4 linked regions of the Pelodiscus sinensis genome follow. The protein of the gene in region 3 interacts with the protein of the main gene of each other region in a biochemical or structural test. Links are inferred from orthologs where the notes say so. Each region holds a gene or a part of one and is shown on either strand. Other genes may lie near its edges. The genes, in order: YES1, HCK, KHDRBS1 and LYN.

Evidence for each region.
Region 1: of the proteins of KHDRBS1 (region 3) and YES1, one has a biochemical effect on the other in vitro, tested with the Homo sapiens proteins (2 studies listed by BioGRID, with this or other methods). The link is inferred for Pelodiscus sinensis from reciprocal best matches to the Homo sapiens genes KHDRBS1 and YES1.
Region 2: the proteins of KHDRBS1 (region 3) and HCK interact in a biophysical measurement, tested with the Homo sapiens proteins (2 studies listed by BioGRID and IntAct, with this or other methods). The link is inferred for Pelodiscus sinensis from reciprocal best matches to the Homo sapiens genes KHDRBS1 and HCK.
Region 4: the proteins of KHDRBS1 (region 3) and LYN form a complex in vitro, tested with the Homo sapiens proteins (3 studies listed by BioGRID and IntAct, with this or other methods). The link is inferred for Pelodiscus sinensis from reciprocal best matches to the Homo sapiens genes KHDRBS1 and LYN.

What each region holds. Positions count from the first base shown.
Region 1 is NC_134712.1:79,910,688-79,918,590, forward strand, and holds the start of YES1 (tyrosine-protein kinase Yes), read right to left. Parts: upstream 3,002-7,903; 5' UTR 2,867-3,001; intron 1-2,866. UniProt on the Homo sapiens protein: Non-receptor protein tyrosine kinase that is involved in the regulation of cell growth and survival, apoptosis, cell-cell adhesion, cytoskeleton remodeling, and differentiation.
Region 2 is NC_134728.1:1,500,035-1,508,031, forward strand, and holds the start of HCK (tyrosine-protein kinase HCK), read right to left. Parts: upstream 3,009-7,997; 5' UTR 2,672-3,008; intron 1-2,671. UniProt on the Homo sapiens protein: Non-receptor tyrosine-protein kinase found in hematopoietic cells that transmits signals from cell surface receptors and plays an important role in the regulation of innate immune responses, including neutrophil, monocyte, macrophage and mast cell functions, phagocytosis, cell survival and proliferation, cell adhesion and migration.
Region 3 is NC_134735.1:3,883,464-3,891,094, forward strand, and holds the start of KHDRBS1 (KH domain-containing, RNA-binding, signal transduction-associated protein 1), read right to left. Parts: upstream 3,014-7,631; 5' UTR 2,669-3,013; coding exon 2,362-2,668; exon of another isoform or gene 2,343-2,361; intron 1-2,342. UniProt on the Homo sapiens protein: Recruited and tyrosine phosphorylated by several receptor systems, for example the T-cell, leptin and insulin receptors. Once phosphorylated, functions as an adapter protein in signal transduction cascades by binding to SH2 and SH3 domain-containing proteins.
Region 4 is NC_134712.1:64,564,170-64,571,820, forward strand, and holds the start of LYN (tyrosine-protein kinase Lyn), read right to left. Parts: upstream 3,001-7,651; 5' UTR 2,767-3,000; intron 1-2,766. UniProt on the Homo sapiens protein: Non-receptor tyrosine-protein kinase that transmits signals from cell surface receptors and plays an important role in the regulation of innate and adaptive immune responses, hematopoiesis, responses to growth factors and cytokines, integrin signaling, but also responses to DNA damage and genotoxic agents.

The sequences.
Region 1 (7,903 bases), on a different chromosome or scaffold from region 3:
ATAACGGTTTCCCTATACTCTACAACACTGCGATTGCAGTATTGTTCCCTTAAAGACTATAAACTGTATTTAAGAAACTTCTTGTTTTTTAAGTTTATCCTGTACAGACTAACTTGGGTACCCCCTAAAGCTTCTGTATTTAAGAAAGCAGTCACTCTATATCTGACTTAGTCCTCATCCTCAAAGGAAACTTGCAAAATTTTTAAAAGATGGGGCTAAGAACTGAAGATTCATAGCTTTGCTAGCCACTAAAAACCATGACTTCACAGCCTTCATGGCTTTTTTAATGTGTACATAATTTACAAACAATCCTGCTGCACCCACAGCAGCTTAGTTAATTTCCCAGACCTGAAGAAAAGCTGTGTAAACTTGAAAGCTTGTCCCTCTCACCAACATAAGTGGTCCAATAAAAGATATAACCTCATCCACCTCTAAGAAATTTTTCAGTTTAAATCTAAAAATAGATTTAGTTCTTTTCTTTAATAGAACCAAAATACAGTTTAGTCATAGGTATAGATTGTGGACCAAAAAAATCAAAACACACCACCTTGAAAATATAAAATACCAGCAGATTTATCGGGCTTTGCTCAGTAGTGCCAAAACAAAGAAACACTTCAAATGTCTCTGTTTTATCTCTTTTCTGTAAGGTTTATTTTATGGCTCATCTTGATTCAGTCTCTTTCAACATTCTCTCAGCTGTGTTAATTGTGAGGACTGAACTTGCTTTGGCGTTTGTCTCTTTTTTTGTTTGGTTTTATGAAAAGCAATCCCATTCCAACATCCCATTTGCCTTGCACAACCAAACTTTTACGTTGCTTTAAGTTTTGGTAAGAGGAAGCTGTACATTGAATTTGTTAGTTCTAACTCTTACTGTTTTGAGGAATTCTTGATCAAATAGACAAACTCTAAAATATATAGTAGACAAATTATTCTCCCACTGATACTGATCTATGTTAAGGACAACTTCAAACTTTCAGAATTTGAGTCCAATATAATGAAAAATTTATGAAAATCAAACTGTTGTTTTTTTTTTTTGAAACTTGACGCTGTCCTTCTTTGATGTGTATATTCCATTTATGTCACAAACACTTCCTCAGATTGGGACTACATATTAAGTTCCTGATTTTACAAAACATTTGTATATATTTAGTTTTATGCACATGAACTCAGTGGGACTATTTGTAAATAAAGTTATGTATTCGCTTAAGAGAAACCCAACTTCTACTCTTCAGGAAGAGTCAATTTTGCAGTTTATTAAGTTAGCAGAAACATTTAGCTGTGTTAAAACTGTATTAGAGAACTTTGATAGTAATAACAACATTACCTGAAAGCAATTTCATAAAAAATGTCTGTCTCAGACTCTTATAATTTTATGAGAAAAAAATAATGATTTACAGTGAAGTTTCACATTGGTTTTACAGTCAATGGTGAATTCTGTGAGAGAAATCACACCAAATTCCATTTAGGGTAGGAAACTGCCAGCATGTGAAAAAAGCAAACAACTTCATTCCCTACCAATACTCTCTGTTACAAACTGACAGGTTAGCTCAAGGATCTCTCAAAAATAGCTAATTTTAACTCAAATAATCATAAACTCAGTTTTAAATTAGGACAAAAATCCTTTGGTATGTTTGTGAAAAACTGTCTTGAGAATAAAGTTTTATAGTGTTACCTCACACAATGTAAAATGCAGCACTCCCTATCTGTGTGTGTACAAGTCGTCTGGAATTGCATATGTAAGAGCACTATCTAACTCAAGGCATAAGATACCCACACCTGTGGCCCTTATCTTGTGGGAACTCATGTGAGTAACTTTATGCAGTGCAAAATCAATATGACTACTGAGAATGTATAATGTTAAGGACAAGCCTATGCATTCTCACTATATATAATTTTTTAAAGAATATACGTATAAAGAAAACTTGGGGAAGTGTTATGACTGAAAAATTAAAGTAAGAAATGTAAAGTAACCATGCCTCAGCTAGACACACAAACGTAATAAGTCTAGCAATGAAGAGACTACACCATACCACATAATATAGTAGGGCCAAGTTAGCTGATCTGGAAATCAATTTTCCATTTCCTGACTTTGCCTGTTTACAGCCCCAAGGCACAGTGCTTCTTTTAACATAGGTTTTAACTGAACTGATAAAAGCAGGAATTCAACCCTGTATACCGCTCATTAACCAAGGTGGTTAAAATTAAAGTCCGGGAGCAAACGCTCTTCCCCAATACCAATGTAAAACATAGGCTGGAATAACCCCAACAAAAAAGAAGAAAACCTTGACTATCCTCCACCAAGGCGCCTGCTGGGAGGAAACCGAAACGAGTGGTAAGTGAAAGTGGAGCCTTGAATAAACTCGTTTGCTCTTCTGCCCACTTCCCCCCTCGCCAAACAATGAAACACGTTGTGGTTTTCAATCACACCAAGCCAGCGAAGGCAGAAACCCCTCTCCCCACAGCAGTTGTTAGCAGGCTTCAGGCGGCCAGACTGACAGCGCCTGCAAGGGACGGGACGTGAAGGCAAAGGGGAGCCACCAGCGGGACCCTCCTGCCCCCCGCGCCTCAGACATGGGCCCCCGGGGTACAGCCGCGCCGTAGCCCGCACGGGAAAACACGGGCTCTGCTCCCCGCCGGGCAGGGAAAAGTTACCGGGAAACTTTCAGTCAATCCAAGTGGGCAGGGGGAGAAGGGAAGGGGGCGGGACGTCGCCCAGCCTAACGCCCGGGACACGGGGGAGCCAGCGGGGGAAGGGGTCTCGCCAGGGCGGAGGAGGCGGCCGCGTGTAGGGGCTGGAGGGGGCCGGGGCCTAGCGCTCGCCGGGTGCCGCCGCCTCTCCAGGGTGAAGGCGCGTCCGGTTCCTCACCTGCTTCTCCGCAGCGGCTCCGGCGGGGACGGACTCGAGCCCCCTGCTCCTCCCGGGGCCGCCGGGCGGGCAGCGAAGGGGGGAGGAGGGAGCCGGACGCTCGCTGCGTGCGGAGACTCGCTGTGAGGAGAAGGAAACTCCCCCACCCGCCGCCTCCGCCTCCTCCGCCGGGCTCCCCGCCTCCCCTGCCCGGCCGGACTCTGCCTCCCCCGCCTTCACTGGCGCTGCGGCCGCCCGGGGAACCTCCCCCTCGAGGCCGCCCGCAGCCCGACTTAGAGGCCGCGGGGAGGAGCCGGGGGGCCGGGGCGCTCCCCGCCCCCGCCAGCGGCTCCCCCTCAACGGAGCGCGAGTTCAGCGGCCCGGCCTAACATGGCGGCGCCTTCCCTAGTAGCGGTGGCCGCGCCGTTCTTACAGCCACCGGGGCCTCCCGGCCGCAGGAGGTGCCCCCGAGGACGGGGGAGGGGATTTAGGAGGCCGGGTTGGCGCTTGAGGGCAATCCTGGATTGGGGGGGGGGAAGCAGTGGATGGGGGGAGGGCCCTGGGGTAGGCAACCCTGTTTGGGTATGAGCAGGAGGAGGAGCCGTAGCTCCTCAGGGATTTCTGGGGAGCAGGGGAGCTGCCAGCAGTGGATGGCTGGGCTGAGGAGGCAGGGAGGGGTTTGGGGGAAGGCGGCGGTGGAGCAGGTTGGAGGCCTTTTTAGGGAGTATTCTAGCGGTTCTCAGCCAGGGGTACGGAGCCGTCTTCCAGAGGCTAACAGCTCATCTAGATATTTAGCTAGTTTTACAAGCAAAAGGGGTGGAGGTTTTTAGGTGAAACGTGGGGCTATTCTGACAAGTCAAATCAGACTTCTGAGGGGGTAGTAATAGAAATGTAGCCGTGTTAGTCCTGCATTTTGCCTGAGGGGGATAGTGTAATCTGGAAAGATTGAGGGAACCTCTCAAAAAGTAGAATTTAGATGAACACACACACACTCTCTCTCTCTCTCTCTCTCTCTCTCTCTCTCTCTCTCTCTCTCTCTCTGCCTCTCTCTGCCAAGGCCAAGGCACAAAAGGAGATCAGATTAGCTACAGAGAAAGAGTAATAAGAAAGCATTTTTCAAATACATAAGAAGCATGAGGAAAATCAAGGACAAGATCAGGGGAGCTGGCTCCATGCTCCTGGAAGTGGGAAGGCCTCCAACAGAAGATGCGGCAGGAGCAGCCAGCCGTCAGAGCTGCCCAGGGCATGTGATGTGGCATTCAGCAGCAATATAAAGAGCCAGGGGCTCCAGCTACTGCCACAATATAGGTGTGGCAGTGGCCAGGAACCTCAGACCCCTTTGAATCATTGGGCCCCAAGCAACTACCTCTTTTGTGTCCCTTCCCCTCTACACGCACACACCTTGTCAGCAGGCCTGGACAAAGTAGGTCCCATTACTCAAGAGGGTAAAACAACAGAAAATGTGGAAATGGTAGAGGTGCTTAATGATGACTTTGTTATGGTTTTAACCAAAAAGGTTCTTGGTGGTTGGATGCTTAACATAGTTAATGGCAGTGAAAGTGAGTTCAGAAGCTTTAAATAGGGAAAGAGCAAGTTAAAAATTTACTTAGATACGTTAGATGTCTTCAAGTCATCAGAGTCCGATGAACTACTTCCTAATAGTAAAGGCGCTGACTTGGGTAGATATCTAAGCCATTAGTGATTATCTTTGAGAAGCTGTGGAATACAGGAGAGTCTCCAGAAGACTGGAAAAGGCCAAATATAAAGAGAAAAATAAGACGACTGATCTGTAATTCCCAGGGTTGTCCTTAACTTCTGTACCCAGAAAGATAATGGAGCAAATAATTAAGTAATAAATTTGCAAACAGCTAGAAGCTAACGTGATAAGTAATAGCATGATTTGTCAAGGACAAATATCAAACCAATCTTTATTTGACAAGGTAACAAGGCTAGTGGATAGGAAAGAAGTGGTGGTACATATGGCATATAGACGTTATTAAAATTTTTTATACCGTCTTGTATTTGGTAACCTAAATGGAGTTACTGTAAGATGGGCGCAAAAATGGTTGGCTAAACATTCCAAAGTAGTTATCAATGGTTCACAAAGAGCCTAATGAGTGGTCTTCCGTGGGTATCAGCTCTGATTCTGTTCAATATTTTCATCGGTGATTTAGGTAATAGAGTACACCTATACTGTTTGCGAACAATATCAAGCTGAGAAGGGTTGCAAGTTCTTTGGCGGATAGGTTTATAATTCAAAATGATCTGGACAAACTGGAAATAGTTTGGGGTATATAGGATGAAATTTACTAAGGACAAATGCAAAATACTCCATTTTGGAAAGAACAATCAGTTTCATACATACAAAATGGGTAATTACTTCTTAGGAAAGAGTACTGCAAAAGGGATCTGTGATCATAGTGGATCACATACTAAAAGAGTTAACAGTGTAACACTGTTGCAAAAAAAGAAAATATTCTGGGATGTATTAGTAGAATGTTGTAAGATATGAGAAGCAGAGTGAAATAATTTCTCCATGCTGATTAGGCCTCCACTTGAGTATTGTGTCCAGTTCTGAGTGCTACATTTCAGGAAAGATGTGGACAAATTGGGAAAAGTCCAGAGAAGAGCAACAAAAATGATTGAAAATATGGGGAACAGCTTTGAGGATTTCTTTATGATGGAAGAGATGATGAGTAGAAGTCTGGAGAAGAAGTTTTAAGGAAACCATCACCCATGGGCAGGGCTCGCCGAAATGCGCAGATTGCCCGAACCCGGCTCTTCCGGGTTGCAATCTACTCGCCATGGGCGAGTAGGTTGTGTTATATGTCGAGCCCTGCCCATGGGGAAAGATTGAAAGAATTGGGTTTGTTTAGTCTGGAAAAGAGATGACTGAGAGGGGGGACAAAAAGTTTTCAAATACCTAACAGGTTGTTACAAGGAAGAGGAAGAAAAATTATTCTTAACCTCTGATGATAGGACAAGAAGAAATTAGCTTAAATTACATCAAGAGAAGTTTAAGTTAGACTTCAGGAAAAAATTCCTGTCAGGGTGATGAAGCACTGGAATACATTGAACAGGGAAGTTGTGAAAAGAGCAGGTTAGACAAACACCTGTCAGGTCTAGTGCCATGAATGCAGGGAACTGAACTTAACAAACTTTTGAGATCTCTACTGGTCCTATAAATCTAAGATTCTCCTCTGTAGGTACAAGGAACAGCGCTGAGGACTTCTTTGGGGTGGGAAGAGAAGATCAGTAGACGTTTGGGGTAAAAGTTTTAAGCATTTTGTTAGTGACAGGAATCACTGGTGGGAGAGAGGCCTGGAAGTTTGTGGGGAGAGGTATGAGGAAAAGCAGCAATACATTGAAGGGTGTCATGAGAAGGAAGAGAAGCCTTGGAGTGTTCACAGTAGTATTAGGAGAAGCAGACACTTTTTAGAAGTGTGAGAGAAATGTTTAGAGGGAGCACTGCAGACCAGGTCTTAGCAGAGCTTTATTTTCTCTTCTTTTTGTTCCCCACTCTAACTTGTATTAGGACGGTGACCAATTTCAGTGAGCAAGTTTTTAAATATAGATTTTACATTTTTCAATAACAAAATTCTTTATGAGACTCTTAAAAATTGCTTTATTTTTTCCCCACATTTGCAAATGAGAAGAGGATTTAGAAGGCTCCCTATATTTTATTTTTTTAATCTTTGTAATTTTTTTGATGTTTAAGTGAAACAGAAAACCCAATCTTTTGTCTTTCAGAAGTGCTTCAGTTACAACTCCTGCTGAGGGGAGAGTTTGCTGCTTACTGATCAGAGTCCTTAAATAGAAAAGGTTCAAAGGAACACAATGCAATACAATAAAGGTTTGAAGTAACATCATTTCCTATAATCTCAGTTTCATGATTCATCATTTCACATGTTTCTTATTACTTTAGTCTGCACAAGGGAAGAATTCACAGTCACAAAAGTGGATAAAAAAAAACATAAAAAGTCCTACAAATCAAAGCTATTGAACATTACATATACAAATCAACAATTATCTCCTACCTATTACTGGCCTTAAATCTGTTGATAATTACTTTTATTGTGATTTTTCCAATACTGATAAGAGTATAACTCTTTAAATATTTGGCTCAGCAGGTGGGTATTTAAGTTGGACACTACAGTATAAATAAATTATGGTCACATAAACACCACCCTTTATCAGAAACCAACTGACTACTATTTTTTCTTACATGCCTCTAACTTCCATCCAGGACACATCACATGATCCATTGTCTATAGCCAGGCCCTAAGATACAACCATGTCTGCTCCAATCCCTTAGACAGAGTCAAATATCTACAAGATCTTTATCAAGCATTCTTACGACTTAAATACCCAGCGGGGAAGTGAAGAAATAGATTGACAAAGCCAGACAAGTATCCAGAAGTCACCTACTTCAGGACAGGCCCAACAATGAAAATAACAACACCACTGGTTATCACTTACAGCCCTCAGCTAAACCCCCTACAGTGCACCATTGGCAATCTACAAGCTGTACTGGAAAATGATCCTTTGCTCAAATAGACATTGGGAGACAGGCCAGTCCTTGCCTACAGACAGCTCCCCAACCTAAAGCAAATGCTCACCAGCAGCCACATACCACACTACAGAAACAGTCACCCAGGAACCAATTTCTGCAACAAATCTCGTTGCCAACTCTGTCCACAAATCTGTACAAGCGACATCATCACAGGACCCAATCACGTGAGCCACATCAGTAGGGGTTCATCCACTTGCACATCCACTAATGTGATATATGCCGTGTATATTGGCCAAACCAGACAGTCTCTGCGCCAAAGGATAAATGGACATAAATCAGACATCAGGAAAGGTAGCAGACATAAACCTGTAGGGGAACATTTTAACCTCCCTGGACATTGAGGCTACGTCTAGACTGCAAGCTTCTTTAGAAATAAGCTTTTCTGGAAGAGATATTCTGGAAAAGCTTATTTCAAAATAGCGTGTCTTCACACAAAAAGCACAACGAAATAGTGATGTGCTATTTTGAAAGAGAGCATTCACACT
Region 2 (7,997 bases), on a different chromosome or scaffold from region 3:
TCTTCTGTGGCTAAGGTAGCAGGGATCTGTGGTGTTGGAGCAGAAGCAGCTGAGTTTGCTCCTCATCCGTGGTGGAGGTAGGCAGTGCAGGGACAGCTGGGACTTCATTCCTCGCCCTCAGAGAGAAAGCCAAGTGCAGACGCTGGCCGGTGTGGGCAGCCCGGCTTGCTGAGGATAGCACGGGGAAGGCAGGGAGCAAAAATCATCAGCTAGGAGGGAGAGAGGCAAGTCTCTGCCCAAGACAAGTGATGGCTGGGAGACTTCATACGGGCGGCCTTGCGGGAACAGAGAGGGGACTGGAGAGACCCCGGGACTGTGGCACTTTTTCAAGCCAGAGCGGTTCCCGGGTGGTCACTGACTGTCTGCTCCTCGTTTTTCGGGTGCCCCCCATGAGACCCCCCTGCCTGATTTGTGGAAGCGGTGAGCACTCGCAGCCGACCCCGCTGCAGATAAAGCTCTCGGCCGTGCTCCATACGCTGCAAAATCCGGTGCGAGGCCTCTGAATTTGGGCACCCTAAATGAGATTTTCACAATCTCTCGGTGCCTCTGTTCCCCATCTGAGGGAGATGCAATGAGAAGCATGAAGCCCCACTGAGAAGGGCTATGAGGAAATGAGTAATTCCCCTTTCAGAGTGGGGCTTGACGAGGGGCAGGGGTGGGTAATCATTTTTTACCTGGAGTTCAAGTCGCCCTGGAAGGGGCGGGGCCTCAGGTGGAAGGGGCGGGGCCTCAGGTGGAAGGGGCGGGGCCAGGGCACTTCCATGCTTCCTCACCCGTAGACCGGGATTGGTTTGTGGGTGGGGAACCACGTGAAGTCTTTGCCCCGGCGAGAACCACCAGCTGTTCAGAACAGCTGGCAGCTGACTCTAAGGGTACATCTAGACTACAGGCTTGTGTCGACAGAGGCTTTGTGGACAAAGAGCGTCTAGACGACAGACAGTTCTGTCGACAAAGCAAGCCGCTTTTTCAACAGTGTCTAGATGCTCTCTTTTGAAAAAGCAGAGTGTGGCTGCAATAGCCCCCATTGGCGACAGCGCTCTGTCGACAAAAGGCGTTATTCCTCGTAGAATGAGGTTTACTGCCGTCGGCAAAACGGCTGCGTTCTGTCGACTTACTGTCGACAGAACTCGGTGGTAGTGTAGACGCAGGTATAGTTTTGTCAACAAAAGTCCACTTTGTAGACAACACCCTGTCATCTAGACACACCCTTGTGTGGAGGAGACCTGCTCCCCACCCCCCCGGCCAATCAGGGCTTGGGGGCCAGGGGAGCGGGTGAAGTCTCCTCCTGCCCTGCCCCCATCCTGCAAGAAGTTTGCTCCCTACCCTCTGGCACGTGGCGCTTACAGTCAACCGCCTTTTGCATCCCCCTGCAAGAGTGGTATATAAGGGTTGGGGGCATACATCAAACAAGAACAATAAAATAAAATGTTGAATTGTTGCCCATTGAGTGAGCCCTGTCTGGCCGAGGCACAGAATGAGGTCAGGGGCCTGTGGAAACAAATATGTCATCACATAATTAAAGGCTGTATTGTCATGCACACACACAAGGGGGTAAATTAAGGTTGCACAGGCATCCTTAACGCAGGTATTTCCTAAAGTCTGCATGTTTGACTTTGCAACCTTAATTCGTGTGTGTGATCTCATACAGACACTACAGTTGCTGCCTTCCAACATCCTGAGCCATGGAAGACCATCACACATCCCCCTTTCACGATCACTGTCTGTATATTTCACAGGCTCTGCTGGGCTTCATTACACAGACATGTGTGGCTGGTGTCCCGATGCCATTTCTAGACTCCCCCATGTATTTCCAGCTGGCAATTAGCCACACCAATGGGAGTCAGGGATGTATTGCACAGTAGCCATGCTGCAAGATGCCGCTTTGGATCCTGTAATCTGTACATTGCCAGCCTCACCCTCCCCAGTGGGTCCGGGAGCTGACGCTGGTTCCTGAGAGGCTGGTGAGTACATGACAAATGGGCAGAGGAGATGGTGAGGATTAAGACCCCCAAAGGGAGAATGACACCAGGTGCTAAGTGTAAGGAGCGATTGTTTTTTTCCCCCAACCCAAAAGCTGGGTCCACGCCCATGTGCCGAGTCTCCATATCTCACTGCACTTCGCTTCCCACTGCGGCCAGCTAGGATGTCACGCCTGTCCCCACCCTGCACACCTCAGTCATTACAACGGGGGCCAAACTCAGCTGCTTCTGCTCCAACATCACCACTCTTCGCTGCCTGCGCCCCAAGAAGACTCTCCGTTGGTACTACAGGTGATATGACACACAGCTGAGCTGTAGTGATGCTGGACAATGGAGGCAAGTGGCACACACCTACACTAATTGCTGCACTGTAACATGAATAACAAGCTCCCGGGGTTACATTTTGATTGGCAGTAAACTTGGTCTAAAGCACCCCAGGCTTATGAAAGGACCTCACGTTAGATCGAGTCGTATAGGCCAGTCTGGGCCTGTCCTCAGATCAAAGACGGCATGAATTTAATTGCGGCCGTGTCCTCTGATGGGGGGGCGGGGTGGGTGGATCAACTCCCTGACCTGACAGCCTGGGAACAAGACACCGGCCTCTGTGCTGCTAGTGACGCTGTATGTGGCTTCCGCCCCATTTCACCCCTGAACCTTGGCTCCAGCAAGATGGGGATGCTGCCGTCACTCACCTTAGAAAGTGCTCTGCGATCCTCGGCCGGCAGGAGCGAGGCAGGATCCAGTGTTTTCTGGCCAGGCGCCCTTCAGAGACCAGGGCAAGCGGCTAGGCCATGTTCTGAGATTTTAGCAGCCTCCCAGCAGGCGGGTGTGGTCCCCGGCAGACGGAGATCGCAGGGCACGATAGTCACAAAGGGCATAAAATGTTCCTTTCCATGCGGTCACGGGCCCCTTGGCGATGCCCCGGCGGCCCCGAGCGCAGCGTCGGGGGGAAGGAACAGGCGTGCGGAGCCCGTCCTGAAATAGACGGCGATGCCACAGCCGCAGCCCTGAGACAGTTTGCGTTTGCTTAACTGCACCGGCCTGCCCAGCGGGCACCTGTCTCGTCACCGGGGCGGAGGGGGGGGGGGCAGGGGAAGGTCACTCGTCTAAAACACGAACTAGCACACAGCCTCTGGGGAGGAGAAAAGAGGAAATGCCCCTCTACTTCCCCTCCCTGCGCTGCAGGCCATGACGCCTGCATTAGGCCGTGTAGCCCAGATGCTGCCGGGGGTGGAGGGTCCTGGCTGTTTTCTTCTCTGGCTGATATTTACGAGGCCCACTGGGGCTGCAGCCTTCCTTCCCCAGCATCCCCTGGTCCCACAGTGACTGCTCAGGGAGGAGGTGGGTAGAGACGTTCAGACACAGGGCTGCCGTCCTGACAGGTGTAAAGCGCCGGGCCGGGGAACGCCATCCACATCAGCCCTCGTAACCCCCAGGAGACTGTCCGGACCTTCGGCCGGCCTCGCCGCCATGGGGCGCTCTCCTGCCACACTTTCAGCTCACCCCCGCTGGCTCCGCCTGCAGCACGGCTCCTGTTTGCAAATGGCTCTTGACCAGTTCCCGGAGCCAGACTGGAGCCGCTCCGGCACCGCCCGCCTGGATGGAGCCACCAGTGAACTCCTGCACCTTCGTGTTTGCCCGGCCTTGGCCACCTCTTTCCCATGCATAGCACCGCGGTCAGCACGTTCTGAGCCACCCGGGCAAGTTTCCCTCGCTCGCCCCTTCGGCCTGCGTGTGGGAACCACGGAGAAGAGACAGGAGCAGGAGGCGCTTGCTGCTAGGGACCCCATGGGGGGCGGGGAGGGGGGGTTCACCGGGAAGCATAATTTGATGGCGAAAGGAATTCCTGACAGGCAGCATTTCAGGCCAGTGCGGGGCAGAAGCCTAGAAGGAACCGGCAGGCGCGACCACAGCTGGAAGGGGAAGCTGAGTTCAGCGGAGCAGGAAACTGCAGGCCAGAGGGAGTCGCGCCCCGCTCCGACTGCTTGGGCCTCAAGTGGGTTCGGTTTTCTTCGCTGCTGGCAAGCGCGCCGGCGACAGCGCCCATCCCGCCCGTTTTCCCGGGACGGTCCCGGGCTGATCCTGGCGACCCGACGTTCTTTAAAAAACGGGCACGTTGTTCCATGTTTCCCAACGCTGTGGGACTGGTGTGTGGGCTCCGGGGTGGGGCTGAGGATGGAGCTTTGGAGTCCAGGAGGGGACTCCGGCTTTGGGGAGGGGTCAGGGATGGGGGAGGGGCTTACTTTGAGCGGCTCCGGTCAGCGGGGGGGGGGGAGGGGGCACTAAGGCAGCTTCCTGCCTTTCCTGGTCCTGCAGCCCCAAGGTTCCCAGCCAATGGGAGTGCAGGACTAGTGCTGGGGGTAGGGGCAGTGCAGGGATCCCTCTGCGTCCCCCCCCCCCGGGGTGCAGCACAGACTGCAGGGCCAGGATAGGCAGGGAGCTGCCTCAGCCCCCCACTGCTCACCTGATCCCCTTGCAGCACGAGCCCCAGCGCCCGACATCCCTCTCCCTGTCCTTGGGCACGACCCATCATTTGAAAACCCAGGGCTTAAACTGCTGTTTGATTTAATTGTTAACGAGTCTAATTATCACCCAATCTGGGTGCTTGGGCTCTGTCATTAATCAACTGCAGTTGGTAAAATACTTGGCCAGCCCTTGTGCTGTGAGAATAATACATCCCTATCAACCGTAACTAGCCCGCTGAATTCACACGCTTGTTTCTCCTGTGGAGACGCCTGATTACTCCTTTGGCCCCTGAGCAATGTTGACTCTCATTGTTTCCATCCATGTGCGGAATACATTTTGTTCTGTGCACTGAGGCATGTGCAGAGGGGCACCACCCATAGAAATACACGCTGCCAGCTGGGGGCGCTATGCTAACCAGGTGGGAGGCATTGGGATCTCCCCCAGGGGGGCCGCCCAAGTGATCAGCTGACAGGGAACGCTGGTCCTGAGCCGTTGAGGTCTGTGTCTCACCGGCTAGGGGAGGGATGCAGCTCTAATGTAACACAGTTTGCCAATTCTCCAGCAGAGAAAGCATGAGCTCAAGGACAGATGTCTGGGAGGGACACACAGACGGGACAGGCTTGCTCCAAATCTTGACACTGACGGCCTTACAGGAAGCTGCCCGGGAGTCCTGAGAATGACACCAAATTTGCATCTTCATTTGCATCTTTCTTTGTTGTTTTAAATAAATAACTACGGCCAGCCGGCGTTTCCGTGTACGTTCCTGTGGCTGGCTGGGTGACACACATCGCCGGCCGTTAGCACCCACCAGTACCCCACACACCTGCTCGTCTAGCTGTGCAGGGGAGGACAGAGAAACCCTTCTAAGCTAGAAGTCTCGTCTGTAGCTTACAAAACCAGCGAGTAGTCCTGTAGCACCTTCGCCCCGCTTCACCCTAGGGAGCCATTGCAAAGCAGCTCCCCTTGTTTTGAAATAATAAGCGGCGCGTCCACACTGCCAAGCCTGCTATGTCAAAATAAGGGGCCTATTTCGAACTAACAACTCCTGCTTTCCACGGGGAAGAACGCGAATTTCAAAAGAGCGGCCATGTAGACGCACCGCTGCTGCTCTTTCAAAATAACGACTCCCCAGAGTCGTTCCAAGTAACGACTCCCCAGTGCTCCCTGAGGTGCTAAGGGGAGGGAGGGTGTCCACTTTTTGTTGAGGGGAATTTAAAAAAAAAGGTTGAGGGGAAGTTATTGAGAAAAGAAAAGAAAAGAAAAGAAAAGAAAAGAAAAGAAAAGAAAAGAAAAGAAAAGAAAGGTCACTTGGCCCTTTAAGGGTGGCCATTTTGAACTCTGTTATTTTCCGAGGCGCACCTCAGATTGCCTCGCAGCACACTGACCTTAAGGGAGCTTCCTCAGACTCATTTCAAGACTTCCTGGCAGCGTGGACACGCTAGTTCGAAATAGTTATTGCGGGAGTTATTAGTTCGAAATGATTTCCTAGTGTCGACGTGCCCTCAGAGACTAACCAAAACCAGAGACTATCAAGAGCTTTCGTGGGCACAGCGCACCTCTTCCCGCTAAGCCAGACTGCTTCACGGGGTTCCTGGCAGATAACTGGGAGCTGGCTTTAGCTTTCCATTAGATTTCTCCACCTCCCCCGCCACCCCATGCCTTGTCATTCAACTCTGTCTCGTGTGGGACAAACCCATAAGCAGTCATGATGATGTCACATTTTCAGCCTTACTGGGTTTGCATGAAGGGTGTAACGTAGCGTCTCATTGAGTCATCAAATAGTCGATGCATTTTTGCCTCAATGATTCGATTAGTCGATAGGGCGGGCCTGCCCCTTTGAAATGCCACGGCGGCGTTTCAAAGTGGCGGAGCCCCGGGTCCCGGGCTCCGTGTGGTGCTGCTGCTTTGCAGTACCCCTTCTTCTCCCCCCTTACTGCCTCTATCGGATAGAGGAAGCAATGTGTGGGGATGCAACTAGTCGACTCTCCTGTTGACTAGTCGTTAACATCCCTAGTTTGCACGGGTGGCAGAGCAGGCCAGTGAACCACAGATGGGGGCCTCCTCAGACTAACCCAGCCACCTCTTCCTGCCTGGGTTGGTAACAGAGCTGGTCTCAAGCGAGCAGGCAGGCTCAAGCCCCGGGCGCAGTCAGCACCGAGGACTTCCCTGTGCTCTGAGCGGCAGGTACCGGGGCTGCTCGGGAACCGTTTTCCTGTTCCTCCGCGGCAGGGCTTTGTACGTGCAGCACGCTGAGAAAAGGGAACTGCTCCGCATGAAGCCCGCGGGCGGCGGGAGGAAATGGTGCAAACAGGGGCTGAGGCGGGGAGGCCTCTCCCACCATGCCCTGGCCCGGGGAAGCCCAGACGCCGGCCGGCTTGGTGCTCCGACAAATGCCGGGAACTGGCCAGAGCCGCTGACGGGAAGCACCTCACAGCTGGGCTCGCTTTTTGTGCAGCCCCTGCCCAGCGGGGCCCAGTCCCGGGCAGGGCCTCAAGGCACCGGGGCAAGAGCTAGCGCCAGCCCCCTCCTGGCAGCAGTGGCACGAGCATGCAACGTGTGCACAGGCCGGAGCGCGACGTGGGGGTCACAGCTGGGCTGGGTGGATTCCCGGGGGGGGGGGGAGAAGGGGAAGCCGAAAGGGCAGTTTTGTTATTGCAATTGCTCCTGGTTTCCCCCTGCCTGTGCCGGAGGCTGAGGCAAGAGACAGGGATGAGCAGCGCCCCCCTCCCCCCCCCACGGGTGGGCCAGCCGGAGGGGTGCTCGGGGCTGTATAGAGCTTGGGCAGAGCGTCCCGGCCGCCTACTAGAGCCAGAGCAGCCCTGCTGACCCGCTGGCATAGAGGCCCTGGGCGTTTTAACCACGGGGGAGGAGGGAGTGTCCAGCCCTGCATGGCGCAGGCCTGGCGCACCCTGTGCAGGAAATGCTGACCGGAGCTGGGCGGCTGGGCCCAGGAGCTACCCCTGGACCCCACCGCCTCGCCAGATACATCCAATTCCGCTGGCCAGGAGCGTGGGAGGCGCCCAGCCCTGCTCCCGCAGGAGGTTTTGCCGCCGAAGCCGGGGGAGCAGGGGCGGGGGCGAGACTCTGCATGGGGGTAACAGCGCCGGCTGGTCGCGGAGCAGGAAGTTGACTCGCAGGGTGCGAACTTCCTTTTGTGAAATGCAAATTACTCCACATTGGTGGCACCGACAGAGTGAGCGCTGCGCTTCGCCGCCGCCTGGGAGACCTCGGCTGGAGTCCATCAGCTGCCCAGAGAGGAAATGATGCGCCACCCCCCCGCCGCCAGCCGGGCACGCCTGACTCTCACACGCCCCTCCCGGCCGCCCAATAGCTCATTCAGACTTGTACAGTCCGTCCCTGCCAGCCCCGTGTGCTCTTGTGCAATGGGGCACGTGTGTCACCATCAGTCACCAGGGTTGCACCATTCCTGGCAGGTGGCCTCCAGCACTGGAAAGTCACTTACTCACCTGGGGGAACCGTTCCACCCTCTCAAAGGCCCCACGTCAGACACCCCCTTTGACGGAGGCTCCCCCCAGCACGCAGCCACCTTGC
Region 3 (7,631 bases):
TACTTCCTTACTCCAGTGGTCACCAACGAGTAGATCTGGATCTACTAGTAGATCTTGGAGCCTCTGATAGCCAAACCAGTCAGGATCACCTATCAAGTGCCAGTACTTCAGCTGCCCTTCCCCAGGGAGCTTCCTACTTGTGAAACAGAGCAAGGAAGGGAGATGGGGGGCTGATGTCAGGGTGCCTCTTCTTCCACTCTGTAGTCTATCTCCACAGAACTGGGAGAGGGGAACAACAGGGCCTGGGATGAAAGGAGTTTCTGGCTGCTTTGGAGAATGGTGAAGGGCCAGGGCAGGGGTGAGCCTGCCTTAGCCCCACTGCAACACCACCCAATAGCCACCTGTGGTAAACAGTGTCCAGCTGGAGCCAACTCTGAACCCCTGCCCCAGTCATGTACCCCACTATACCCCAAACCCCTGCTCTAGCCCTGAGCCCCCCCAGACCCAAACCCCCTTCTGCACCCCAGGCTCAACTCAGAGTCCCCTCACACTCCAAATCCCTTAGCCCAAGACCAGAGCCTGTGCTCCAACCCTCTGCCCCTGCCTGGGGAAAGGGAGGGAGAACGAGCACGAAGGAGGCAGGACAAGGGTATTTGGGTTTGAGGTAGATCCTGGATTGCACTCACATTCAAAAAGTGATCTTGGGTTTAAAAAAAGTTGGAGACCCCTGCCTTAGTCACTGAAATGGTATTCAATTGATTGGTTTAAGTTGAGTACCACTGCAGGTGAATGGCTCCTTAAAACTAAGCCAGTTGTAGAGCTGGAGCGGGAGAGGGAAGAGGGAGACAGGGACACCACCTTTTCGAATGTGTGAATGGCTCCTTAAGAGCGCCACCTGGGGAGACACTTGCCAACCCTTTTGAAATGTAATGAAGACACTACGGGTCACAACCCATAGGTTGGAAAACCCTGGTCTAGTCAACAGGTTATCTAGTCATCTTTAAACATTGTTTTCAGAAAAAACATGATTTCAGGAAGACCCTTTAATTAACCTGGAAATAGCACATATCTAATTTATCATAACCAAGAGGAATATCAGTGGCACCAAGATACAAATTCAGAATGGAGCCACATCAAATCTCTAGTACAACGAAGATGACAGCTTTAAACAGCACTTTCCTACTTTTACATGAAGAGTTGAGATGAGTGACGTAATGTGTCTACTATATTAACACTGGCAATGCCATATTATAACTGCTTTCTAATAATGCAGTTCATAAAGAATGCATTATAGTTTCACTAGTATCAGATATTTTTAAATGTAACAATCCTAACAAGGGGCTAAATTATTCTAATCTAAAAAATTATATCCTTTATATGCAGTTTACACTTCCTTTTCTTTTTTTACACAGTAAACTGTTGGTTTAAAAACGAACAAGTTAAAACACTAACAACTATTTTTAAACAAAACTGTCTACTTGATACAGCTATGTGTGACCACAGTGCAGCTGCGCTGTAGTGATGTGGAAAAATCTGAGCCGCCAGGCGATTGGACAGTGATGATCAGGGGAAGAGAGTGCTAGCCTAGTCACAGAACAAAGACTACCATGGCCATTTCCATTTAGTTTCATCAGAGGCATGAAACAAGCTCTAATACAGATTTTCATAGTGGTGAATTAAAAAACCCCACAATTTCACATTTCAAAGGAGTAGACTACATAAAAAAACCGAGTTTACTGCCGTACCATTCTCTTTAGTCTCCTCTTTCCCATGGATGTAAAGAGCCAAGAGAATCACGCTTTCAGAGAAAGAAGTTATAGGTTCGTGTTTGATCCCTTTCAAACCATGAATTAATCTTTGGGGCTGGATGCTATTTAGGATACACCCATATCGACCCGGATTAAAACTACCCATCCATCTAACGTGCATTAGAGCAGGAACGAGCGCAACGATAAAACGCGCCCCACCCCAAGCCTTGGCGACTGAGCTTTTCCACGCGCTGCTTCAACCCTGCCGAGGAGGCAGTTTACAGAAGCCACCAGGAGCGAGCCCAGGACAAAAAGGCGACCGCCTGCAGCTCGCGGCGGCGGCGGGCCCGGAGGGAGGGAAGCGGCCGCATGGCAGCCAGTCGGCGGCCTCCTGGCTGCACGAGGATCCTGCCCCCCGGGAGCAGCCAGTCACCTCCCGGGGCGGGGAGAGCAGCTGTGAGCGCCGAACAAAGAGCGGGGTCGGCCAGGACTGGAGCCTCAGCCCCTCCCCGCCCCGGATCGCGGCCTAGGGAAGGGGGGAGGTGTTGCGTAGGCGGCGGCGCCTGGCGCCAGCAGCAGCACAACGTGGGTGACAGACACACAGACCCCCCCCCCCCGCCTCTCCCGCGCCCTTCCCCCTCCCGGCCTCGTCCCCTCCCCCACCCCGCGCTACCTGCCGTCAGCAGCTGCATGGCGTGGGTGAAGGACGGGTCCAGACTGTCCTTCTCGGCCATGAGCTCCGGCAGGTACTTGTTCTCGGGCTCCATCTTGACGGTGGCCCCGGGCAGGAGCGGGGTGGGCGCGGCGGTGGGGGTCTGCGAGGCGGCGGCGGTGGCGGCGGGCGGGAGGAGCGGCGGCGGCTGGGCCCCGGCCCCCCGGGCCCCGCCTCGGGGCGGCCGGCGGGGCGCGGGCCCCCCTTGCCGGGCGGCGGGGCCCGGAGCTCTGCCCAGCCGGGCGGCGGGGTCCTCGCGGCGCTGCATGCCCGGAAAGAGGGGGCGGGGGGGCGGCCGAACGAGCGGGGGGAGCGAGAGGGCGAACAGGATTGCCACACACCGACCGCCGGGGCTCCCAGGCCAGGAAGTGAAGGGCCGGAAACGGCTCCTCGCCCACTGCGCCTGCGCTCCCGCCGCCCGCTGCCGAGCGGCGTGTACGTTCGCCCCGCGCCCCCGTCAGAAGCAGCCAGCACCGGGCATGCGCCGCCGCCGTCGAGAACAAAGCGCCGAAGTGAGCCGACGCGCATGCCCAACCGTCACCCTGCGTGCCCTGCCCCCGCGTTGCGCGCGCGCGCACGCGCAGCGCTCAGCCCGCGAAGGCGAAAGCGCGCGAGACTGGCGGCGAAGGGAGCTGCGCCCGCCGGAACTCGCACGCTCCGCCGCCAACAAAAGTACCCAGGGGAAGCAATACGCCTGCGCAGCACGGTGACGCCCTCCGGAGGTACACTGCGCGTGCGCAAAACAACGCCCGGCGTCGAGAACAAAGCGTCGGCTACACTTGGGGCGCATGCGTATTGTCCTCTCCCCCTCCCCCTTCGATCGAATACTGAGGGCGTAGCGTAGTGGCTGTAGTGCGCATGTGCACGTCTCTCCCCTCCCTCCCGCACCCGGGAATGTGGCACGTGCTGTGGTGCGCATGTAGCCCTGGTGCGCAGGGCGCCACGTGGTCGGGTTTGGAGCCGAGGGGAGAAAGCGCGACAGGAGCCAAGGGGAGCATGGGGCGCAGCCGGGAGGAGGGGCCACACCCCAGGGACAGGGGGATTGCAGGCGGGGGGGGTGTTGTGGGGGCAACCACGAATAGTGGGTGGGCCACGTGAGTGGCTCTCCTTCATCTCAGTAGGTCACAGCATCCCATGGCCCACTGGGGATTCACCGAGGGTTGCCAGATGGTTCAACAACAAATACCGACCCCCCTCACCCCCAAAAAGGGGAATAATTCTGAGAAAAAAAGGGAGGGGGGGCACTGCCTTTAAATGGCTCCTCACTCCCCTGCCAACACCAGACATGGCAGAGGAAAATTGTGCCTGCTGGGCTTGTGTTTGAGAGAAACAGGAAATACCAGACTTTTCACAGGTCTGGTTGTTGTTGTTGTTGTTGTTGTGTTTTTTTTTTACCGGACGAGGGACCTGAATAACGGACAGTCTTGGTGAAAACCGGACACCTGGCAACTTAAGATTCACCTATGGGCCTGCAGGTCCCCCCCCCCCATGTGCTTCTCATGCACTGGGGCACCAGAGCCCCCCCCACCATTCAACTGCTCCTCCCCTTCCCGCCTAGCACTTTCACAGTGGCACTGTCTCACGTCCTCCTGCTTCCTGTCCTCCCCCTTCCTCCCAAAACTGGAACACAGTGAACAGTTGATTAGCAATGTTCCAGCTCTGGGAGGGAGGGGGAGCCGTATCAGAGCGCAAAACAGGCAATTTGCTGGGAGGGAGAGGGGAGGCATAGGAAGTGCAAGGCTCAGGTGGCCTAGTGTGTAAGAGGTTCATGGGGGAGGAGACATGGGGGGGAGGCTTGTCTGCAGGAGCCCCAATAGGCTGCATGTGGCGCGCAGGCCTCAAGTTGCCCACCACTGACATGGGGTGAGGGCAGGGTGGGTGTTGTAGGGATACTGGTGGGGAGCATGGGGTATAGTGGGGACACAAGGGATTCAGGTAGGGGGGTGCTGTGGGGATACAGGGAACAGTGTAGGATGGGATAGGAATGTGTAAGTCAGACCACACACTCATACAGACTCTGATATTTACAGCAAATCAACCAAAGAAAATTGCCACTGGAGGGCTGGTGATCTAGTCCTAAACTCATGTCATCCTCCCTAAGCACTAGCAACAGGTGTTGAGTTGGCTGTTGCCTTCTAGGGAAATTATAGTAGGCACAACACGACCCCTTGGGCACTCTTGCCTGAAGGCACTTTAGTGTCTTGCATTCGCCTAAATTCTAAGTGGTAGAGTAACATAGTTTTGGAAGTGGATCTAAGATTCTTGGAAGGGAGGACATCAGAGATTGATCCAGTTCCAGTAGTGTCCAGCAACTCAGACTTTGCAGAGCACCCTAATAAGCTGTTGGAAATGAGCTGAGTCCATGCAAGGGAGGAAAAAAGACTATGGGAAGCAGCTGAATCTATTGGGGGTTTATAAATCCCACACATAAGGTGATGGTGACAGGAGGCCTAACGCTGAGCTAATGTGGAAAGAACTTTCTCCTTGCAAATCCCCATGAAATCAAGTAACATTGCTGAGTCCAGAGTGAATCTGGAGAATGAGCACAAACCTCAGGGGAAGAAGCCTGGCACACAATTTGGGTGGGCATTCTGAACTCAGATTTCACCAACCACTACAATAGCCTTAAAATGGAATCAAAGACAGTCCCATGAGGTACTCCAATCTATACTGCCTCTCTGGTATTCTTTCCTTTGTGACAGATGGGCCCTTACATAAAAAAACACAACAATATTCAGGTTACTTCCAGTCTCAAAGGACCACTCACTTACTCCAGCTGCTTTTTAGAGCCCACACCAAAGACAGTGCTAGCCAATCCTACAATTAACTAAAGATTTATTAACTAAGAAAAAAAGTTAATTAAAAGGTTAAAACAATTAAACATACACAAACGAGTTACAGGCATGTAATAGAAGTTGCTGTGATATGCAAGTTCTATAAGTTATTTACAGAACCCAAGCTAAGCAGCTGGAGATCCCTTGTTTTTTTCCCTCTTGTGTTCCACAGTGTCTTCTGTGGTATCTATGGGTGTTCTGTTCAGCAGAAGATGACACCTCTTGTGAAAAACTAGTATTCCGCACTTGGTAATGCTTCTCTCCTGACTGGGAGTTTACTGTATCAGAGCAAACATTTAAATACTAATTTATAACATGGGATATAGATATTATAAGTGACATTAACGCATGCAACAACTCAAACATTCCATAAAGCCTAAATACATTTCTATAAATCTGATACCTATTGTAGCAATACTAACACACAAGTGGACCAGACTGGTTTCCAGCCATGCACTTGGCAGTGTTCAGTTGAGGCCTCAGGCCTTTGGCATGAGCTGGCACCTGGTCTGCCAGTAGTACAGTTGCACCAAGGGATTTTTCAGCAGGAAAACATTGTGGGTCACTGGTTGCAGGGATCTCTGCCAGTGTTGTTAATGAAGTCAGTATTCCTTTACCGGTTGGCAGGACCCCGTTCCTGGAAGCTACAAACCTCCATGCCACTGTGACCAGCCATTCTCCCATAATGAATGGATTGATGGGTTCATAGTTCAGGAACACAGTGGAAAAGTGGAATACAGGATGTTGTGGAGTCCAGGACTTTAATAGGATTTTAAAAAAAAAAGCTAAATAAATTCATGGAGGTTAGGTCTTTCAATGGCTATTAGCCAAGATGGGTAAAAATGGTGTCCCCACCCTCTGTTTCTCAGAAGCTGGGAATAGGTGACAGGGGAGGGATCACTTGATGATCCCCTGTTCTGTTCATTCCCCCTAGGGCACCTGGCATTGGCCATTGGGATACTGGGCTAGATGAACCTTCGGTCTGACCTAGTCTGGCCATTCTTATGAACAGTTTGTAAAAGCTATGGCTACTGTAGAAAATCCTGCCATGCCTGATAGTGTGTGGGTCTGTCACGCAAGGGTTCACTCAGGAGGCTCTAGAATAGGGGTGGCCAACCCAAGGTTCTTTCCCCTCCCCCCCGCAGGTGTGGCTCGTGAAGCCCCCCCCGGTGGCTCAAAAGCTGCCCCCGCGCCTCCCAAAACGGCCCTCTCCTCCTGTCTCCCTGTGCTAACCTAGGCACGGCGCAGCCATGAAAGCTCGACCAAACGCGACTGGGGACTCCTTTTAAAAGGGCAAAAGGGGCAGTCCTTTTTTTTTTTTCTCTCAGCAACTTTGCCCCGGCTCTTTGTGCTGAATCCACCATCCGGGCTTCCTTCTCTGCCCTCTTCTCTGCTTTCACTTCCTGATTCAGTTGCGCTCTCCCTTTCCATCTGTCCAATTCAATTTCACATCTCTGACATAGCTCTCAAATGCTTCACCCAGGATCCTATTCACCTCTCCCTGCCTGTCCTTCCCAGAGCACACGTCTTCTATGCCATCCCATCGGCCCAGCACCTTCTGCTCCAAACAATCCATCCTTGCTCCTGCTAACGGGCCACCATGGTGCCAGTCATTTGCCTGCTCTTTCAATAGGAAGATACAAGAGTAGACTCTCTGTCCTCCTGCACACTGGTTCTGCAGTCCAAAATCAGCCCCCTGCTACAAAGATTCTTCTGTCCACCTACCTGCTGCTTCTCGCTGGGTCAGATTACCTTCTTTGATGGAAACCCCGCTGCTGTCAATATAGCAAGCATCTACACTATGGTGCTGCAGCAGGACAGCTGCGGGGCCAAAGTGGTGCTTCTGGTAGTGTAGACACACCTTTAGACAGCAGAAGCCTGAGCCTGCCTGCCTGTACAGGGCTGTTTTCAAAACAAGGCCGCTGATTCATTTCTCTCTGTCACTCTATGTTTTTCTTTCCAGGCATGATCATGTCTGTTTCACCTCCCTAACTCCATACATCTCACACATTACCAAGTTGCCTGTTAGCTTGTGTTCCCTGCCTCTCTTCTCTTTATTGGATCCTGTGGTTCTCCCTTAATTTTTGTTCTTTTTTTTGCTCCAACTGCCCAGTTATGGCTGCCTAATTCCAACTCCATCTTAACACTCAGTCTCTTGTTAAGTCCGTATTCTATGTGCTTCTTGTGCAGTCAGAGAGTAGAAAAAAAATTTTGCTCTGTGTTTAACCCCAATACCTGCTACACATGCTGTAGAAGGGTGGTGCTTTGGGGGCTAGTATAAATGTTAATTGGGAGTACACACGGCTTGGCGATAACATCACAGCTGGGGCTGTTGTGCTAGGACTGTGCTGAGAGCTGCAGTGATGACAACACACAGTAGTTGCCATTTGTATTTGA
Region 4 (7,651 bases), on a different chromosome or scaffold from region 3:
CTCCCTTATAAAAAGGGCATATTGCAGTTTAACTTGCAAGAGGGTCACCGAACAAGGTGTGCCATTTCTAGAGACAGAATCAGGAAGCAAAGATTTAAAAATTTGTCGAAAATCCATCCACTAGTTTGGACCAGGTGAAACGCATCTGAAAACTGTAATGCTAATAGAGTAAAAAATGCCTAGTATTAGCAGATAGTTAATCATTGCAGTCAAAAGTATTGTCTACAAAAACAGCCACTGAATGATTTTACTGATCAAAATATTAAAAAAGACCTTTCTGCCATTGTTTGTGTCTTTGTAACAAGGAGTCTTGCTTACCCAGAGGGGTACATGGAAAAGCGGAACCCCTTTACATCCAGCAATTTACAGTAATTGGCAAAATATTGTAATGATGTAATAAGCAAGATATATCTCAACATTTACTGATGAAAAACATCCTCAAATCAAGAAACATTTCAACTTTTATGTAATTTTTATCCAGTGCCAGCTTTATAATATTAATTTTGAAATAGGTTTCTCATTTTCTTGACCTATTGGCTGAATAATCCATGAATTTTAATTGTCTCCTGTGTTTCCATACACTCCTAATAGGCAGTATTCTCAGTTCATTTCATCCTTTCTACTTTTAGTGAGAAAACTGTTTTCCAATCCACAGGTGAAATGTTGTCACTACTTATTATGAAGATGTGAAGTCCCCACTTAATAACATAAACCATCACATCTGCTCTGCATCCAATACTAGAACAGGAAAGATTCACATGAAAGCAATTCAGTTAATTCTGTGTTAAAACTGGGCTCCCCAATATAATTTAATTATTTTGTTAAGACAGTTCCAAATTGCAGGTTTTTATATTATCACTTGGTAAATGTTACTACACTGTTCCAAAGTTTATCTGCTGTCAGATATTACAATACAACCATTTACAGCCAACTCACCCAGGAATCATACTGTATGAGGGTAAAGAGTTTCCCCCTCAATTTGTAATATTTCAAGATGATTGGGTGAGTAGGATGGGAATGGGAGATTTGCAGTGAGTGTGAGAGAAGAGTGTTTAGGGGTTTTTTTTGGCTGAAAAACATCTAAAGTGCTCTTCCATTGTGAAAAACGAAAGTAAAAACGGCAATTTCTAATTCAACTTGTTTGTTCTCTGTGTCTTCTCAGTCATAGCTCTTTATTTCAGTGACTAAAACTAGTTTTGACCTCTGAAATGAGCTTCATTCCTGAATGAGAAAGAACAGGGGGTGTCAACTACGTTCTAACTGCAGAGTTAAAATTTAGTTGATGATGTTGACAGAGAAAGAACCAGCTTGGCTTTCAGATTCTAGGCTGAATTTGTAGATCTGGCAGCTTACAAAGTATCTTTTTATTTAGAAATGAACACCACAACAACTTTTTTTTCCAGCACAGAAGCACACTTCAATATCTAGCTGAGAGGGAGCAGTTTTAAATTGAAGATGCTCCAGAATTACTTTACTATATGCTTGTAGGTTTAAAATCCAAAGTTTAATACAGAATACCCTAAGGTCATATTTTTTCCTCTTAATTAAACCAAGCCTATTGTCTGAACTTGTGAAAGTGACTAAGAAAAATGCATTGTGTAATACTACCTTCTTTCTAGCATACCAACTCTTTTGTTGTTTGTTTTTAATTAGGAATAGTCAAGACTGGCTGAAGACAATATATCCCTGAAGAGCATAGTAAAACATCAAAATGCAATCCCTTTTTAAGTCTTCTTAAATAAATTGCTGTATTTTCTTAAAAGCTGAAACTAACCATCCATACAGGAAAGCTTAAGCTGCAGCTACACCCCTTCCCCCAGGCTAGAGGAAAAGCTAACCAGTCCGAAAAGAACTCTCACTTCCTTTTAACTAATGTGCTGTATGTATTTTATCTGAGGTTCAAACAACCATTCCCTTAAGGGGCAGAAACACAAGCTGCCCATTAATGTCACACTTCCTCTTTTGAACTGGCTGTACCCTTTAGACATGGCTCATTTAATATTTCTAGTTCACTTCAGTGAATGGGAAAGATCAGGTTTCATGACCTGCCACATCAATCGCCCTTTAGCTAATTCAGGGATACTACTATAATATCCTCAATCAGCCCCCCTTTTCTCCTCCCTGAAGACTTTGCTTCTCCTTATTTTAGGGGAGATAGGAGGCTAGAGGAAGATTATACCAATACGTAGGTAGAGTTTTCCCTATTCTGATTGGTATGCCAATAGGGCAGGTCAGAGGTGCTGGAACAATCTGTATAGCGGAGCTGGCAGATTGGAACCAAACCGTAAACCCCGTACATAATGGAAACCACTTCAAACCACTGGGAGCGGAAGCACCTCTAGTTCCAGCATCTATGGGGCAAGTCCTGGCCCCCAAGTCCCAGTGTTGCTAACAGTGTGTTAGGAGAGCCAATAAACAAAGCACAAACCCAAGCTCCTGTGATAAGTTGTTTGATCCAACAGACAAACAAGTGTCTATTATGAAAGTTCCCTCTGATCTGCAGTGCAAGGTAAATCCAGGGGGAGGGGAGACAGTTTCCATAGCAACTAGGACTGCTGCAAAATAGATGCCTTACCCCTGATCCCCAGAGAGAAACTCTCAGTGGTTCCCTCTGACAAACGCTAGGAAGCCCCCTTAGTCCGCTCCCTGCCAGCAGGGCTGTTCCCTGCATTTCCCGCTGCTCGGAAAGGATCGCAGAAATTACACTTGGCCACCGGCGCCCAAACAAGCTACCCACTGCCAAATTAGGAGACAAAAGACGCTTACTTACTTCCCTGAATGCGAAACTTTGGAAGCAGCAAGTCAACTCCACAGTTACTTCAGCCACAGAGCTGGGGCAGGAGCCAGGCTGCCGTTCAAACTCAAACCAGCTGATGAGCCTCGGGAAGAGGAAAAGCTACTCGCTTGGTTTTTTGAAGACCACGGGATTTTACAGCTGGGAGAGAGAGTCCAGAGCAGCTAAGCCGATCCTCTGCCACCCCAGAGAGCAGAAGAGGAACTTCGCTTGGTTTCAGTGGGTTGGCTGAGAGTTTTCAGTTTACTTCCTGGTACTGTATTAGGGAATTTGCATAAATATCAGTAAAGGGGATGGGGGAGAGAAGGGAGGATTTTTAAGAAAAATGTTAAGTATTGTTCAGCTTTTGATCAAGAAATCAAAACACTGGGTGAGAGTTTAAGAGGGGAGACTGAAGCAAAGACCCAAACAAGACTCGCAGAGGTATTTCCACCAGCAGCAGGGAATAAATGAGAAGGGATTTCAGGAGGGGGAAGATTACTAGGGGCTGGTTTCATTTTAACAAGGCAGCCCTCCCTCCAGCTAACGGGAGGGGGCGTGGCGTGCCCTGCTCTAGAGAGCCCCACAACCACCTGTTTCCGCTCATTCTTTGCTACCTAGGAGAGGAGACTGCATGGGGTCGGGGAAGAGTAAGGGATTCTGGCATTTTCTTCCGTTCCCTCTCTCCCCTGGCGGATAATGAACTATTTTAGCTCCACTAGAGCACCCAGGACTCTAGGGAAGTTTAGAAGGAATGCAAGCTAAATATGTTGCTAACATGTCATGACTGCCCTTCATGAGACAGGGAAACTAGAGTGGTATGACTGTGCAGAGCAGCACTGTTAGCACTCCTGAATATTACTATTGCAGTAATAGCTCTAGACTAGAGGCTAACCAGGCTAGGACCCCATTGTGCTAGGTGCTGCACAAACATATAGCAAATGGCAGTCCCTACTCCAATATCTTATGAATCTGAAAGGCTAAATGGAGGAGGTGGCTATGGCAGGTAATAGGATGGAAACATTTTTGCTTTGATCATGATTCAACTTATGTCCAGGACATAAGGGTCAGAGTCCAAATTAGTTTCCTTTCCCATAATAGGCTATTTATTAATAAGAAATAAAAAATATATTGAAAGATCAGAGAGGGAGGTTGACGCTTCCTCTGAGGCTGCTGTCTGGATTTATTAGTCATGTGGTCTATGCTGTGGTCAGTTCTAGTAAGTGTCTTTGTTCCTGTCGTATGGCAGATAAGTCTTTTGCTGGTATGGTGGCGTGTACATGCTGAGGGTGCGAGAGTTTTTATTGCTATGCAGGATCTTGTCTGTATTAGCAGCAAACAGCTTTTGTTTATCAAAAGGGAGATCCTCCACCTTTCTTTGAAGCTCCCTGAGCACACCTCCTACATGCAACCAGGAGGCTCTCCTCACCACTGCTGGTGAGCTACTATCTATTGCTGATAGTAGTGCTGTGCAGGCGATGGTGTGCCTCTCACAAATTATTGTCCTGAGGATGGATCTTTTGGAGGTGCTCCATGAGCTCAGCAAGCTTGGAGTAATCATCCAAGTCATGGCTGGCTAGCAATGCAGAGTAGTTTGCAATTCTGAGCTGCAGGGTGGCAGAGAAATATATATTTTTTGCCAGATAGAGCTAGTTATTTATATTCTTTGTCACTGGTTGCTGACCTAAGTTGAGGAGCTTGTGAATGTTGATTCACTGCATCCACCACCAAAGATGTGTCTGATTCCTCCATTATTGCTTCATCAATTGTTAATGCAATCCTTCCCTGAGAGGAGGGATAGGTGTTCTTTAGGAGACGGTGCTGTTTCTCCTTTACCTCCTGGAGCTGAACTTCCTGAGTAGTGGTCCCTCTTAAAAAGTTCCTGAGATTGTTTCAGGTCGTCAGTAGAATGGGTATCTTCAGGTATTACTGCCTCATCAGGAGATAAGGATGAACTGTTCCTCGAGGAAAGCTACGGGGCTCGTGTAACAATGTGCTCATTGAGAATTGATCCTCCTTGTTGTCTTCGGATTCAGCGGTATTCAGAAGGGTATGGGATAGGGAGGCTGGTGGAAGCCTCTTTGGTGACACAGATGGGCCTGTAGAGTGGCATCTGCAAGGTCTCCAATAGTCCCATGGGGCCCACTGGGGTGGATAATGGGGCAGACAATTGGGAGGTGAAAAATGTCAGTCAGGGTACCACTGTGGGTGGTAAGGTCCCTCTCGGTAATGGTGAAAATGACAAGATGTAGTAGGAGAGGAGTGTTGTGAGGAGAAGGTGTTCCTCTGATTATGTGTCAGCTACTCCAGCATTTTTGTGTAACAACGGAGACATAATGTAGCCTGGAACTCGATAGGGAGAGCATAGCAAAGGCTGAGCATTCTCAACATCAGCTGTGTGAATGCCCTCAAGTTGGCCAGTGTGATTATGCAGCACCGGCACAGCTGCCGAGTCTGGCGGGGGAGGCATTTGCACTGATATTAGCACATCAGAAGGCAGTGCTGAAGACTTGTGGGGCTGTGACAGATGGTTCCCCACTCTTTCTCAGTGCTGGGTGTTGTGGTGCCACTTGCGGCAGTGCCGGGGTTCGCCATCATGATCTCTCTGGTGCCAACGATGAACGATCCAGCTTGGAGTGAGCATGGGGTGCCATTCTAGCAACTCTTGTTAGAATTCTTGGCACCAAGTTGTCTGTGGTGCCTGGCGAGTCTCCACTGGCTTGATGGGGGGGAGTGGTCAGGGACAACGACCTCACCAGGGAGACCCTCGCCTTGAGATATTTGTGAGGTGTGGGAGACACAGATCTGTGTTTCCACAGATCCCCTGGAGTCAAAGAGGGCTGAGACCCTTCTGAGGCCTGCAGAGCCCACTTGAAAAGAATCATATGGCGCCAAAGCTCCTGGTCTTTTGTAGCCCTTGTCGTAAGGCTCTGGCAGTGATCACATTTTTTGAGGGTATGCGACTCCCCCAAACAGCGTATACAGGCATCATGCCTGTCCAAAGCCGGTATGGGGTCATTACACTGATGGCACTTCTACGATGCCCGGTTCTCAGGGCTTTAAGCAGTGCTTTTCTTTCTTTTTTCCCCTCTGTCTGTGATTGAGGGTGGTTAGCGAGGAACTGAAAGGGGGAGCAGGATTGCATATGAATGGTGGCAAACCGCCAACAGCACGAGCTGCCTTCAGTGAATGTGCGGTCCAGCTAATAGCTGTTAAGAAAAACTCTGAACTGCGGTTCCGGGGATGACCTGTCACCAACAGAGGAGCACCCACAGGGACATCACCCGAAGAAGAACATTCCATAATAAGTCAACAAATCTGACGGGGCTTTTGCATATTTCAGTTTGTGGATTGGGCTTCGATAAAAGGTACATTAAAACACATGGGTTTGGAAAGTGGGAACTAGGGGTTTGAAATTTGAGTCTAACATTGCCAAGTGAGAACTTTTGCCCTATAGAAATTCCACTATTTACATGGTTATTGGTTGAATGATTTCTCCTAGTTTTATTTTTAATTGAAGAACTGTCAGATATCATATATACCCGTTGATAAGCTGAATTTTTTTGGTAAAAAAGTGGCTCAAAGAGTAGGTGTCGGCTTATCAACAGGTCTACGTTGTCATTGTAGATCAAAGGTTGGAAAACTTCAGTACCCAGCCCATCAGGGGAAGCCACTGGTATGCCGTGACATTTTGTGTACCTGAAGTGTCCACAGGGATGGAGTCCCTCAGCTCCCAGTGCCTGTGATTCACTATTCTTGGCCATTGGGAACTGCTGGAAACAGCACAGGCCAAGGTACCTGCTGGCTGCCACTTCTCGCTGCTCCTATTGGCCAGGAACAGTGAATCAGACACCGAGAGCTATAGGGCTCCATGCCTGCAGATGCTCCAGGTAAACAAAATGTCCCAATGAGCCAGTAGCTTACCCTGACAAATCGGCAACCGAAGTTTGCCAACCTCTGAAATATAGAATTGGCTTATGAAAAGGTCATACCCCATTGGTTTGTTCTTTTTAACTATTCATCTTAGGGTGGGTCGACTTATAAACTAACAAACTAATGAATGAGTATATACAGTTGTTTAGGTCCAAATTGTTATCCTATTTTATAATCTATTTCATAGTCTGGTAGTCTTCTGGATTTCATTTTTTAAAAAATTCCTGTCTTTCCCCAAGTTTATTTTTGTTTTTAACAGGAAAAAAAAAAGACCAATGCAAAAGCAATATATCTTGACTTTTTTCTTCGTTTTCTTGCAGAGCCAGCATTGTAGTGTGGATGTCTTAGACCTGGTCTACCCTGGCATGTTTTGTCACCAAAACGTATCTTTTGTTGACAAAACATTGAAAGCATTTACAATCCAATGGCACTTTTGTCGAGGAAAACACCCACACTCTGTTACTTGAGAGACATAGTAACTTGAACAATTTAGGAGATTGAGGTTCTGAATGGTGTTACATGCCTTTGCCCCAGAAGTGAGACCCGTCTGGCACTCCATATCTCTATCACTGGTAATTGAATGAATAACCAGAGACCAGATATGTTTAAATCAAAGGTAAGTATACTGTAAATTTAGAAACACAGCCCCAAACGCTTGATATTGAACACATCCATCCACACCCCAAATAAATACAAGAATAAAGAATAATCCCAGTACAATAAAGAAATACTTTGCAGTTGATGGTGAGGTAAGTGATGCCTAGGATCTACAACCCTAGAGCTAACTAGTAGCTTTTGGGGAGGAACTCTAGGTAATCCCACGCTGATTAAGTCAACAAGTTAATAGTTGCCAAGAAAACAGTTCTCAGTTCCAGCCTTGAGCTTTCGCAACAAGCAGCTGAGCCCGTCCTGAAGGCTTCTCCTCTACTCTTTCTCATCTGGGTA